Linked DNA regions of Danio rerio. The protein of the gene in region 2 binds, or shares a complex with, the protein of the main gene of each other region. Links are inferred from orthologs where the notes say so. Each region holds a gene or a part of one and is shown on either strand. Other genes may lie near its edges. The genes, in order: xab2, prpf19 and ppie.

What was found.
Region 1: prpf19 (region 2) and xab2 share a complex: the UniProt entries of both Homo sapiens proteins name them as parts of the XAB2 complex. The link is inferred for Danio rerio from reciprocal best matches to the Homo sapiens genes PRPF19 and XAB2.
Region 3: prpf19 (region 2) and ppie share a complex: the UniProt entries of both Homo sapiens proteins name them as parts of the XAB2 complex. The link is inferred for Danio rerio from reciprocal best matches to the Homo sapiens genes PRPF19 and PPIE.

What each region holds. Positions count from the first base shown.
Region 1 is NC_133178.1:55,854,010-55,858,398, reverse strand, and holds the start of xab2 (pre-mRNA-splicing factor SYF1), read right to left. Parts: upstream 2,851-4,389; 5' UTR 2,747-2,850; coding exon 2,711-2,746; intron 772-2,710; coding exon 623-771; intron 540-622; coding exon 416-539; intron 1-415. UniProt on the Homo sapiens protein: Involved in pre-mRNA splicing as component of the spliceosome. Involved in transcription-coupled repair (TCR), transcription and pre-mRNA splicing.
Region 2 is NC_133189.1:18,665,349-18,669,002, reverse strand, and holds part of prpf19 (pre-mRNA-processing factor 19), read right to left. Parts: intron 3,150-3,654; coding exon 3,008-3,149; intron 2,930-3,007; coding exon 2,856-2,929; intron 1,240-2,855; coding exon 1,174-1,239; intron 1,088-1,173; coding exon 1,046-1,087; intron 962-1,045; coding exon 887-961; intron 1-886. UniProt on the Homo sapiens protein: Ubiquitin-protein ligase which is a core component of several complexes mainly involved pre-mRNA splicing and DNA repair. Required for pre-mRNA splicing as component of the spliceosome.
Region 3 is NC_133192.1:26,693,043-26,697,402, forward strand, and holds the start of ppie (peptidyl-prolyl cis-trans isomerase E), read right to left. Parts: upstream 2,955-4,360; 5' UTR 2,939-2,954; coding exon 2,908-2,938; intron 2,691-2,907; coding exon 2,592-2,690; intron 2,494-2,591; coding exon 2,450-2,493; intron 2,248-2,449; coding exon 2,221-2,247; intron 2,113-2,220; coding exon 2,031-2,112; intron 1,441-2,030; coding exon 1,337-1,440; intron 613-1,336; coding exon 489-612; intron 1-488. UniProt on the Homo sapiens protein: Involved in pre-mRNA splicing as component of the spliceosome. Combines RNA-binding and PPIase activities.

The DNA.
Region 1 (4,389 bases), on a different chromosome or scaffold from region 2:
ATATTATAGGAAATACTGTTAAACTTCCTTGCTCTGTTAAACATCATTTGAGAAATATTTATTAAAAAAAAAAAAAAACATATTCCCAGGAGCGCTAATAATTTTGACTTCAACAGTAATCGTTTTAAATAATCGTGATCACAATTATGACCAAAATAATCGTAATTATGATTTTTCCGAAAATCGAGCAGCCCTACTTTTCACCTACTTTTTTTTAATACTATGAATTTGGACATATTACTCGGCTCACATACTGTTTTTAGCGAACTATATAGTAGGTAAGTAAGCGATTTCAGCCACAGATCTAGTCTTATGCCATAAAACATGTGCATCACTCTTTATTCAAAAATATGTAAATATAGCACATTTTACAACTAACAGAAACCCTGTGTAAGAATTAAGAGATCAACTTTACCTTATGCATAAACACAAGCGCTCTCTCGTGACAGTTGTTCACCTCCTCGTATCCAGGATCCGTGATGCACTTTCCTTTCACCTGTTTTCTCCTCTCTCTCAGGTAGTTGTACCACAATTTGTAACTGCAAGAAACCATGTAGATATTTAGGATTTAAAGCACACAGGTTTCAGTGTAAAAGGAAATGACATGATGACATGTACGCACCTGCCAGGCAACTCCTTTAAAGCTCTTTCATAGATCATGTTGAGCACAGATTTCTGTGCACTTTGCTTGTGCTCAATGTAACGCATCCAGCACTTGACTGAATATGGATTCCTGATGATTTCTTCCTCATAAGGCAAATCATCATCTTCCTGCAAAACAAACATGCCTCTGTGATTAAGATTCACGAACACTGATGAAAGCTAGCTCCAACGTTAGATTATTGAGTTAGTGAGTAACATTTATAGAGGTAAAGTTGTTTTTTAATAGCACATTCGTACAGTGAAAGTGACATGCTCCCTTACCCTGCTACTTTAAATATTAGGTCTGAGATCACCTGCAAGTAAGACTTGAAAACAACATTAGAGCTATTTCTTTCACTGTGAACAGTGTTGTAATTTGACAGTCATGGGTTGCTAATATGATTTTGCTTTATAATCTGCACATTATACTTTTTAAAGTTATATTATTTATATTTTATTACAGCTTTTCTCAGTGGCTTTGGTGCATTTCTCACAACACTATTTACATTTGCACAACAAGTAATGCATTTCTCAAAACAATTAGTCATTTGTGCACATCCTAGTAGCAGTTTCTCATTCCCTCCAACAAATTGCAAATGCTTTTGAACATGCATCAATTGCTTTCATACAATGCTCTGCTGTTTATAACATTATTATTTGTTTATGTCAGTCAAAATTAACTAAACTTGTGAATTCTGAATAGTCATTCCATATTAAACTAATAGTCCTCATTTCATCACTTGAGTCATTACATACACAAATGTTGAACTAGCTGTCAAAATCTGTCGAGCAAATTTTGTAAAAAATGTAAAATCTTTTTTTTTCCTGAAAATGTCTTATAAATTGAACAATTTCATGACTGATTTACAGACCTGTGTATGTTGCAGGTAAATATGTTGTGCAATATTGTTTACAGTTGTGCACAGCTCTATCCAAAGGAAGTTTATGTTTGTTGTAAATAAGGGTGTATTTATTCTTTTGCACAATGCTTTGAATAAATTAGAATGGCAAAGAGCAAATGCAGTAAAAATGTGAAACATACATATTCAGTGTCTTGTACTCAGATAGCTCACTAAATGCAGTGTTGTCTAACTTTACTGGTTTTCAAATGGCTGTGCAAATAGTATATACTGCTGTCTTGAGCATTTACAGAAAGTGTCACCAAATTCTGCCTATTTAGCATTGAAAAAAATTAATAATTCATAATGAAAACAAGACAAAGCCATTTGACTATATTGTTCATAAACAATGGTGTCAAGACTTCTCATTTTGATGATACTGACACTTTCATTGACGTGAATACTTGCTTTTGAGGAATGAACTATCCATTTTGAGCAAGTGACACGCTTTTGCAGGTTATCTTAGGTTTTGCAGTTTGTACTAATTGTTTTGAGATGTGTATTAACTGGTGTTCAAATGTAAATAGTGTTGTGAGAAATGCACCAAAGCTACTGAGGAAAAACTGTAAGGAGAAAGTCAGAATGTGCGAATATAGACAATTTTGAGTGACGTAAACGATAACAGTTGGTTCTAATTTTCATAGCTTTCAAGAAGGTTTACATATTAATAAATAATGTTATGATAGCTGTTTTAACATTAAGTTATGATTGAATTGCCTCCTGTTACAGCTATGAAATAGTTTGACAACAGGAAATGTTCATGGGCCAATGATGTCGCCTCATTGAAAACAAAAACTTTACCTCAATGTAACATTTAGGTGAAAGAAACAGAAATATTTAGTACAGGTTTTTAAAATGTTAATTTTAAATGTTATTTTCTGACACTTAGTAACTGACTAAACAATGATAATAACTTAAAATTAAAGTAAACCTATGCTAACTACTGTTATTCACTTTAAATAAATTATTATTATATGTGAGAGGTGAATTAATGCACAGGACACAACAATTCATTTTGACAGGTAATAATCATATGTGGAATTTATTAGTATTATTAAAAATACTTGTGTGTATCTTATTCAGCTGTAGTTAGCGAGCTAATCACAGCTAGCTACGAAAAGATTGAGAACACTAACAAAACTGACTTTAAAAATAGCTCAGATACATACGAATAAAACGTCCGCCTTTCCGCTTAGCGATGGCATTTTCCCTTGCCTGAATATATCCTCGTTATAAAACTAGAAACTTGTGTTATTGTCAAAAAATACAAACACTTTCCCAACGTGTGGGGATCGTAGAGCACAATAGCCCCGCCTTTTCTGAGTGTACTCGATTCCTATTGGCTGACTTCTCCCATTGCACTACGGTGGCTCAGGAGGCTTTTCTGTTAAAGAGGTGTTTCTCGGTCTGAAGGCGTTTTAATGGAAGAAACCCTGAATAAACGATTTTGGGAGGCAAGAATCGTTTGTTAATCTAAAGAATTAGTCCACTGAGATAGTTTTTGTTGAAGCATCTTTTATGAAAGCAGTTGTGAAATATAAGTACTCGTAATTGTATTGAATGTAAAATCGTGCATACATCAAATACTAAAGGGGTAGTTCACCTAAAAATCCAAAGTAACTCACTTGCGTCCTTAGAAGTTCAGACTTGGAAGAACGAACACCCGAGGACGCAAGTCGGGTACTTCTTCAAATATAACAGCAGTGTACTCTATAACATCACTTACCTAACCATGGATTCATCGGTTTCACTGTACATCAAAAATAAAATGACTAAATTACATGAAGCACGGCCCAGTAATTAATAATATATTAATATTATAAATCTACATTTTTGATTTAAGAAAATGTAAACATACATTATATAAATGTGAAGTAAAATGTGGTTTTATACTTAGACACGTGTCTTTGATTATCATATTTAATGGACATTATACAAGTATAAAGTACAAGACGTACACAATAAGAAATAAATATAACGCTAAGCAATTTGGTAAACAAAGACAAACAGTGTACAACACAGTAACGATTAAAGGGTCATGACTCCTTTCGGTTCAGGTCTGCCTCAGAATTTTTCCAAAAATGCATCATAATGGGCGTGGAGCTCCGCGATCAGAGGCAGGAATGGGCGTGGCCAGCAGAGCAGGGGAGAAAGAGGGGAGCGAACAACTGTTGTCAGTTGGCTCACAAAATGAGACACAAACCTTGAGAAGACTAATGATTTTATAGTTTACAAAGTTAAAATGCAAACAAATAAACAGTAATTTAATACCCTGCTACATTTGTCATTTGTAATTTAAAATACACAACCACAATTTATATTATTGTAAAGATAATCGTGTTATATAAACACTTTGAGGTGAGGACTTTTCCATAAATCCCCAGGTCTGAATGCAGACTCAGTGCAGCAGGTCTCTTGCCCTGCCTATTTCAATCATTAGCCCTGCTGGTAATCTGGATGGATTTAGGCAAAAACAGTAGCACGGCGATGTGTCTAAATGTGAACAAACTTCTGATAAAAGACGACATCCGCCATTCTCCAGTTCTCGTACTGCTCTCCTGACAAAAATGCTTACTGCACACAAACAACTTTGCTGTATCGGCCCTGACAGCATCACGGGGAAAAACATGCAACAAACCCCATGGATCATCGAAACAAACACATACGGCCCTTCATGAACAGCTAAATACTGTGTGCCGTGGGTCAGTGGAAGCTGTTTAACCCAGTCATCAAGGTAGGATCTCACAGCTTGGCACTGGCAGATCTGTCTTGCCTTCGGAAAGCATGTGCAGTCATGAATAATTAAGAAGCAGGCTCTTGTCATTGGATAAAAAAACTTCAGTATAAA
Region 2 (3,654 bases):
CCAATAGCTGTGCCTTCAAAGATGCTGTCACAGAATTTGATCAAAACAGGATTTCTAGAACAATTTTATGCTTACTTGGCAATTTTTTTTTACCAGGACATATGGAAAGAGAGAATTTTGAATTTATTGCCATATCAGCTTTTATGGCTATATCATGGCAAAAAAAGATCAGGTTTACCACATTTTAAAAAATAATACTTTTCTATAATTATAAAAATATTCTAACAATTAAAAGTCATCGAAAGCAATAAATACAGAAGATAAAAATACAAAGTAATAATGAGAATACATAAGATAAAAATCTAAAACTTTTTTTTAAGGATTTAGTTTTGATGAAAATTTAACAATTTTAAAATTAAATACTACATTTCAAGTCCCTCCAGACAATAATTGTTGTCGGATAACAATAAAAATAGGGCATTGCACAAGAATATTTTTAACAGCTTGGTTTCTGTTGCAATATAGACATTTTAGGGGTTTTTCTCCTTTAGCAAGTGTTCAGTGCGAGTTTTTTTGTGTCCGGAACGTCATCTTCTGCATACAATCTCATCATTTCTTGAGTTTTAAAAAAAAAATTGGATTTTGATCCTATTTCAGGCTGGATTTCATAGTTTATTTTTTGAGCACTAATCCTACCATAATGGTATAAAATCAGCTTAAATAAACATAATGGATTTTTTTAATGAGCCTAATATATTGACCTCTGAAAAAAACTAAACCTTTTTTAACAATAAATGTACCAAATGTAGCACTTTTTAGAAGCGGTTTTCTTATGATATAGAAAAAAAACATCCAGCTTATATAACCTTTGTGGACATCAGGCCTACACAACATATGTTAAACAAAAATATGCACGCATACACACTGTGTAAAATTGGATACTCACAGCATGGGATCCCACTTGGCGATACTTGCTGAGATCTTCTGCTCTGACCAGCTCTTCTGGCACGGTCTTTCCTCTCTGAAAAACAAACACGTAAAAGGTTACAGACATTGAAAAGCACATCAAATAACAGTGACCACAAACTGCTAATTAAACGTTTACCTTCTTTCTCTCGGTGGTCAGAACAGTGGCCTTGTCTTGAAGCTGTAATGTAAGAAAAAGTCTTTGAATCCCTTTGTACATGTGTGAGCAATGAGAACACTGCTGAATATACTTGTGGATTCACAAACCTTCTGTATGATCTCCGGAGTCATTCCAACCTGTTCACTGACCTCCATGGCCTCACCACCAGCACCCTATGAAAACAGAAAATTATATATTTAACTCCATTGTACTATGGCTATGAGGGGGTTGAATTATTTTACATTTAAAATTGAACATAAAACCATAAAATAAATAAATATCGGATTCACAATTCATCTCAGAATTAATTCTCAACTTTTGAAATAAATTCCTGCATTATATGAAATAACTTTTTTTTCCTGCATCTTTCATTTTGAAAGAGATTATAATCTAAAAGTATTTTTTTTTCAGAATCTTGAGAAATTTTTTTTTAATATATATATTAGAGGTTGCACTGACTAGTCGACTAATCAACTAGTTGACTTTAATGCTCTGCCGTGATGCTTTTTGATAAACTTCGACTAGTCTCACTGTGCAGATCACGTTGTTTGACCAGAACTACATGCAGCTTTACACACTAAGGTGGAACCACGAGTGCACGGATGTTGTCACTGAATGAAACTGCCCTCCGATTATTTAAAATACATTTTTTTAACTGTATTTTTTATGTCAGCGTCAAAGATTCACGTGAACTTGTATTGAACTTTAAATCGGTGCCAGTTAGGTTTAAGCAACCCTGAAAAGTAATGTGATTGTCTGCTGCCCTCTACAAACCTGTGAAAAAATGTGAAGTGCACAGCCGCAAAGGTGTGATAAACTTCACAGCTTGTGTAGGTGTAAACATCATCAACATTGGTGAACCTGGTGAAGATGTACAGCAAGCAGACTTCTGTAACTAAAATGAGCCAGTGACCACAAAAAACGCCTGACTTAAGCAGGATTTTGAGCAGCTTTCTAGTGCGCATGATCATAGCGATAAAATATAAAATACATTAAATATAATGTAATATTTATAAAATATGAGTCTGATTAGGACTCCGACAGTGTAATATGGCTTAATGTTATAGCCTGTCCTTTCTGCGTTATGTATAACGTCACATGAATCTGTGTGCTGCATTATTTCTGCACAAAAATATCTGTTATTGTTACATTCTTACTAGAATGTGCAGTGATCAATGTGTTAACTGCATTTATTTCGCAGTAAAATTTAGTCCGGGTGCTAATGTTACATTAATAACGAAAGAGTCGACAGTGTATTTGTTTTGCACTAAAATGGTGTCATTGGTGTAATGTTGCATTGTTCTTGCAACGCGTTATGAGCGTTCCAACAGCATGGAAACATATTCTGTCCTGCAAATAAATCGCAAATTGTGGCATGTTGCAAAACATTTGCATCTTATGTTTTTTTTTGATGACGCTAAAAGCTACTAGTTGACTCAACTTTGATAATATAAAAGTCGACTTTCAAAAATCTAAAATCGTCAACCTCTTTTTTACATTTAATGAAATTCAATAAAAATGGTAAGGCAGTTACCAAAAACATTTAAACACTTTATAAATATCACATTTCTAAAATAATAAAAAAGCAAAAAAATAACAATCTAAAACCGTTTTTTAAGGTTTACTCTTGCTACAAAATTTTACCTTAAAAATTATTATAATTGCTGTCTAATAACATTAAAAATAGTGGCCATTTCTATTTGAAAAACCTCAAAGTACCTATGGTTCATGAGTGAATTAAGATTTTTTTTTTCACGCTACATTATGAATATCTAAAGAAATTACTGACCACAGCAGCGGGCTGAGAAGCAGGAGCGGCCTGTGGAGCGACCAGTCCAGCCTGGGGTTTGAGGGTAGCCAAAGCTGCAAGCAGAACAATGTGTCAGTGATGGCACAATTCCAGTCAACATCTCATCCTGAAAGCAATCATGCCACTCTTACCTTCTCTGGCAGCAGTGACCTCTTTTGTAAGACGAGCAATGACTCTGCAGGCTGCATCATGCTGGTAGAGAGCATGAGAAAGCTCTTGTCGTGTTGTCTGCAACTGCTGCCTCAGTGTAAAACTGTGCAGCATCACGGCGTCCTGAAAGAGAGAGAGAGAGAAAAAAACTGTGTTAATCTAAAATATAATCATTCTTTTATAACAATCACCAAATATTAAATGGAAAAGTTTTTCATACGTTGAATGATGCATGTATAATTGCACATATTGCACACAGAATAAGCAGGCTTTGTTGAATTATTTCATAAATAACTGGACGTATCATTCTAAAATCCCAGTGAAGTGGTACAGGATTATTTTGTTTCTCCAGTCTATGGTACAGACTCTGCCAGATGGTTTGTTTTGGGAACAGGTAGGCATTTTTACTGCTTGTAGATTTTGATGCACGAAGATATATCATATAAGTATCTAAAAGTGCAAGGGAGATTCTTTGCATTTGTAGTGCGCACGCCAAAAGATCAAATTCATGTTAAACTTTTGACTAAAATGTATATACACTCGATCAATTTAACATTTATATAAACAATATCTTCAGATAAGGTACATGATTGTATCAAATCCTGATGTTACATCTGAATGTGTCATT
Region 3 (4,360 bases), on a different chromosome or scaffold from region 2:
TGAAGAAGAACAAACAAATCAAGCCAAAAGGTTTTTACAATGTTGATGGGATAGAAGTAGGACCGAGTTTAAAAGGATAATGCTGTTATTTTCCTCCCTCTTTGGTCATCACAGATGACAACTAAAATGGTGGTCCTTAATGATTCATAAAATGTCAGTTAAAAAAATATCATGTGTGTATATATATATATATATATATATATATATATATATATATATATATATATATATATATATATATTATTTTTATATTTCTATTATACAGGCAAAGTAGATGTCATTATGTTGATTTGTAAGTGCTGTTGCTGCTCTCAAGGCATTGCATTTATAAATAGATTTGCATTATATGAATCACCATGGACAACTTTCTAGCATTTTTACTTTAGCTAGAATAGGTTCACCATGAATATATACATATAAAAAATTTGGTGAATTTTTATTCCATGCTGACTTTAAGCACACGCAGGAGATGGTTAAATATGTCTGACCTGCAGTCATAGGCACAACATCAGCTCGCAGAAGGAAGCGCAGTCGGCCTGCAGGTTTGTTGCCAATCTTGATATCCATATAGACTTGAGGATTGGTTCTGCCTTTTTTTGCTGGAGGTTCTCCCTGTTCAGGAACATAAAATGCCAATCAGAGAGTATTTACAGGCATCAGAGGGCAATTCAACACCTTTTAAGACCTTTTTAAGACTCTTTCAATACATTTTAAGGCCTTGAAACCACTTTAGGTTTCAACTGGAAACACTGGCGAGATTTTAACTTATAGAATATTTACTGAATATTAATGTAAGAAACTAATCTAAAACTAAAACACTATTCATATACTGAATAAAAATTAATTTTATCTAATACAGCAGATTGACGCCAATAGAATTGCAGAAATAATGGTGTTGTCTTGGTTACTGCAGTAAACAAAATTGCATGATGTCAAATCTAGTAGGATTTCATAAACTACACAGCATCCTGATATTTGCAGATTTAATTCAGGCAAACTTTGGCATACAACCATACATTGCATAATCAACAATAATATAAAATATATTATTATTAAAAAATGTAATACCTTGCAAAACAGCAATTAAGAATATTTAATAACTTTTAAGGGCCTTAAATTTCTCTACATTAATTTACCAACTTTTAATACTTTAAGACCCCGCAGACAACCTTAATCATAGAGTAATAATGATAAAACTAATTTAAAATGGAGCATTAGACTTTGAAAAAAATACATATATAAACAGTAAAATCAAAATGACAATGTTAAGTTATTACTATTATTTTATTTACCATCCAAAAAATAAATAAATAAACCAATACTGTAACTTTCGGACCTCTTGTGTCTCTGTACTTGCTGATTCTGCAGCTGACTCGGCCTCTTCACTCTCCTCTGCTTTCTTCCCCGAGAACTTCTTCAGCCAGTCATCGTCAGACCACACTATAGGCAGAACAGCATAATTTACTTTATGCAAGTGTATTAATTTAGAGTGGCAATCCCAGAATAAAGGTGTTAGGGGCCATTCACTTTTGACATCTTTTGCACGTGCAAGTTTGTTATTCTCTGTTCAACCGAAACAACGATGGTGAAAGCACACAAGATGATGTTATCTTAGCATTTCATCTTAGCATATCACTCAAGTTGTTGCATGTTTTCCAGTCATTTTTAGGATTGATTTGTTATTTAGAATAATAACTGTATAATAATAGTAATAACACATACTGCTACGAGTAAAGACAAAAACACTAAAGAGCCTGCTTTTTATAATTCAAACTTATATGTAATTTAACTGAAAATTTGAAAGCAAACTACATTTTAATGAGCTATATCATTGTAACAGATGTTTTCTGATGTTTTTGTTTACAGCATCAATACCTTTTAGCTTAGTTTTGTTTATATATATTCTTATGAACTCAGCTTTAGGTATGGGTGTAAACAGCATATATTTATAAAGTACAAATCAGAAGTTGGCAGTGAGTATGTGTCAAGACATTAAACAGAAAAATCAACCACAATCAATTTTCCATCACCTGGGCGAGAGGAGCCCTCTTTAATTCTCATGGGTTTGGCGATGTTCACCCTGATGGTTCTGCCAAACAGCTCAGACTCGTTCTGAAAAACACATTACCAAATGCATAAAAACCTCCACTCTGCACATCCTGATAGTGTTGAACTTTATAAATCCACAGAATTCAGTAAATTCAAATTCGATGAACTCACCATGTTATCAATAGCAGCTGCTGAATCCTAGAGGGGAAAAGACAGAACTTTAATTAAGTGACAAATTGATACCAAAGCTTCTAATGCAGAGAAACAACAGTACAGTGTATAAAGTAGCAACACTGTTTGAATAAGTGAATCATAAAAAGCATCAAAGTTAATGTCACTTTGATGATGCACATTTCGCGTTATTTTAACTTAATTCAGTGTAGATGTATATGATATTCACCTCTGCCAGCTCGAACTCGATAAAAGCAAAGCCTCTGTGTTTCTCTGTTGGTAAAGACAGGATGTTAAAGTGGTAGTAAAAATCGGTCGTACGTTCACATGGTAAAGTTGTAAAGTAAATGTAACTTCTGTGTATTTGTCACCTGTCTCATAATCTAACGGGATCTGAATATCTGTAATGTCACCGAAAGGAATAAACGCAGCGTGCAGCACTTTCTCATCCACCTCCTCTGCAAGACCACCTAGAAAATAATAATAACGTTTCACTTAGTGCGATATGTCACTTTAAACGGACTGAGCGCTCAACTCTTGCTCATATTTCATGAATTGCTGCTTTCCCGGATACAACTAAAAACGTGTACTGCGTCGATAAAAATGTACGAGGCTAGAGGATTAAACTAGCCAACTGAACGAGCAAAACGTTTGTTAGTTAAATTAATAAATTTTATGTTTTCTTACCAACATAAAGAACACGTTTGCTGGCCGCCATCTTGCGTGTAACCTTTGACTTCAGGCTGTGTTCTTCACCACTGAGGTTTGGTATGTCGCCCTCTGGTGAACTGGAGTAAAATCTGATTGACATTTTGACACTCTGGATTCATTATGTACTTCGGGGGCGCCACAGTGGAGAAAAAAGGTCGCTGGTTTGAGCCTTAGCTGGGTCAGTTTGGAGTTTGAATGTTCTCCCTGTATTTGTGCTGCCCACACTTCTAACAACCGTCTTTTAAACAGACTAATGAATGCAAATAGGTTGAATGTGATGTACATATCAGTTATGTATATTTGTGCATAGTTGTAATTAAAATATACATTTTTAAATTGTGCTTTCTGCTTGTACTAATGCAACACGTACATTTCTATCACAAATAAAAAAAGAGTTTAATTATTTAATCACTATTGTGAATTGGCATGAAAAGCAGTCCAATATTTAACGCAAAGGTACTGCATTTTTGTGAATCAGTTAATTAAATAGTACTATCATGATTTATAAAGTTTCTATTGTGATATTACTAAAGTTGCCATTGAAAGAAAATCTGGATATACATATGCATAATTGAATAGGCCTAATAATAAGTTTAATGCATGGAAATAACATACTGTGTGAGCCTCAAACACCTCATTCTCATGTAAATCCAGGGTAAAAAAAAAAAAAAAAAACAGAAAAATAAGCAAATCAGAGAATAACACTGACAGTTACCTCAGGAATATTTGATCGCTACAGACCCTGATAGAAACTTCTGTTTAGAATTCTGAAATGCGTGGCACTGAGCAGTTTCTGGTGTGCGACCTGCTTTAGATAGTATCTATTTACAGCTTGTCTAAACATAAAATTCAGGAAAAATAGAATATGTTTAATCTGCTGTTGAACTGTATCTTTTGTTGGTTTAGTGTAAATTATATTCACTTTGCTGTTTATGTTTGTAATGAGGCAACAGACACATGTAAACTATTGAATTAGCATTTAATGCCCATTTATGCCTAACTCGGGAGCAGTAATGGACAGATAGATCATCACTTGCTCCTAATGCGGACCTCTTCTTCTCAACTTGTAATTTGACAAGCTCTCTACTAAATTTGTTTAAATATTGTTTTTGACGACTTAATGATTATTTTGCACATTTGTATTTCAGAGTACATCACACTGTGTGAGCATCAGAGACATAAGCGTCATATTCACAAAATAAGGTAAAAACAGCTTTTCATTCATTAATTTTCTCTTCAGCTTCGCCCCATTATTAATTAGGGGTCGCCACAGGTGAATGAACCCCCAACTTATCCAGCATATGTTTTACGCAGTGGATGCCCTTCCAGCTGCAACCCAGTGCTGGAAAACACTCATTCACACTTATACACTACAGTCAATTTAGTTTATTCAATTCACCTATAGCGCATTTCTTTGGCCGGTTAGAAA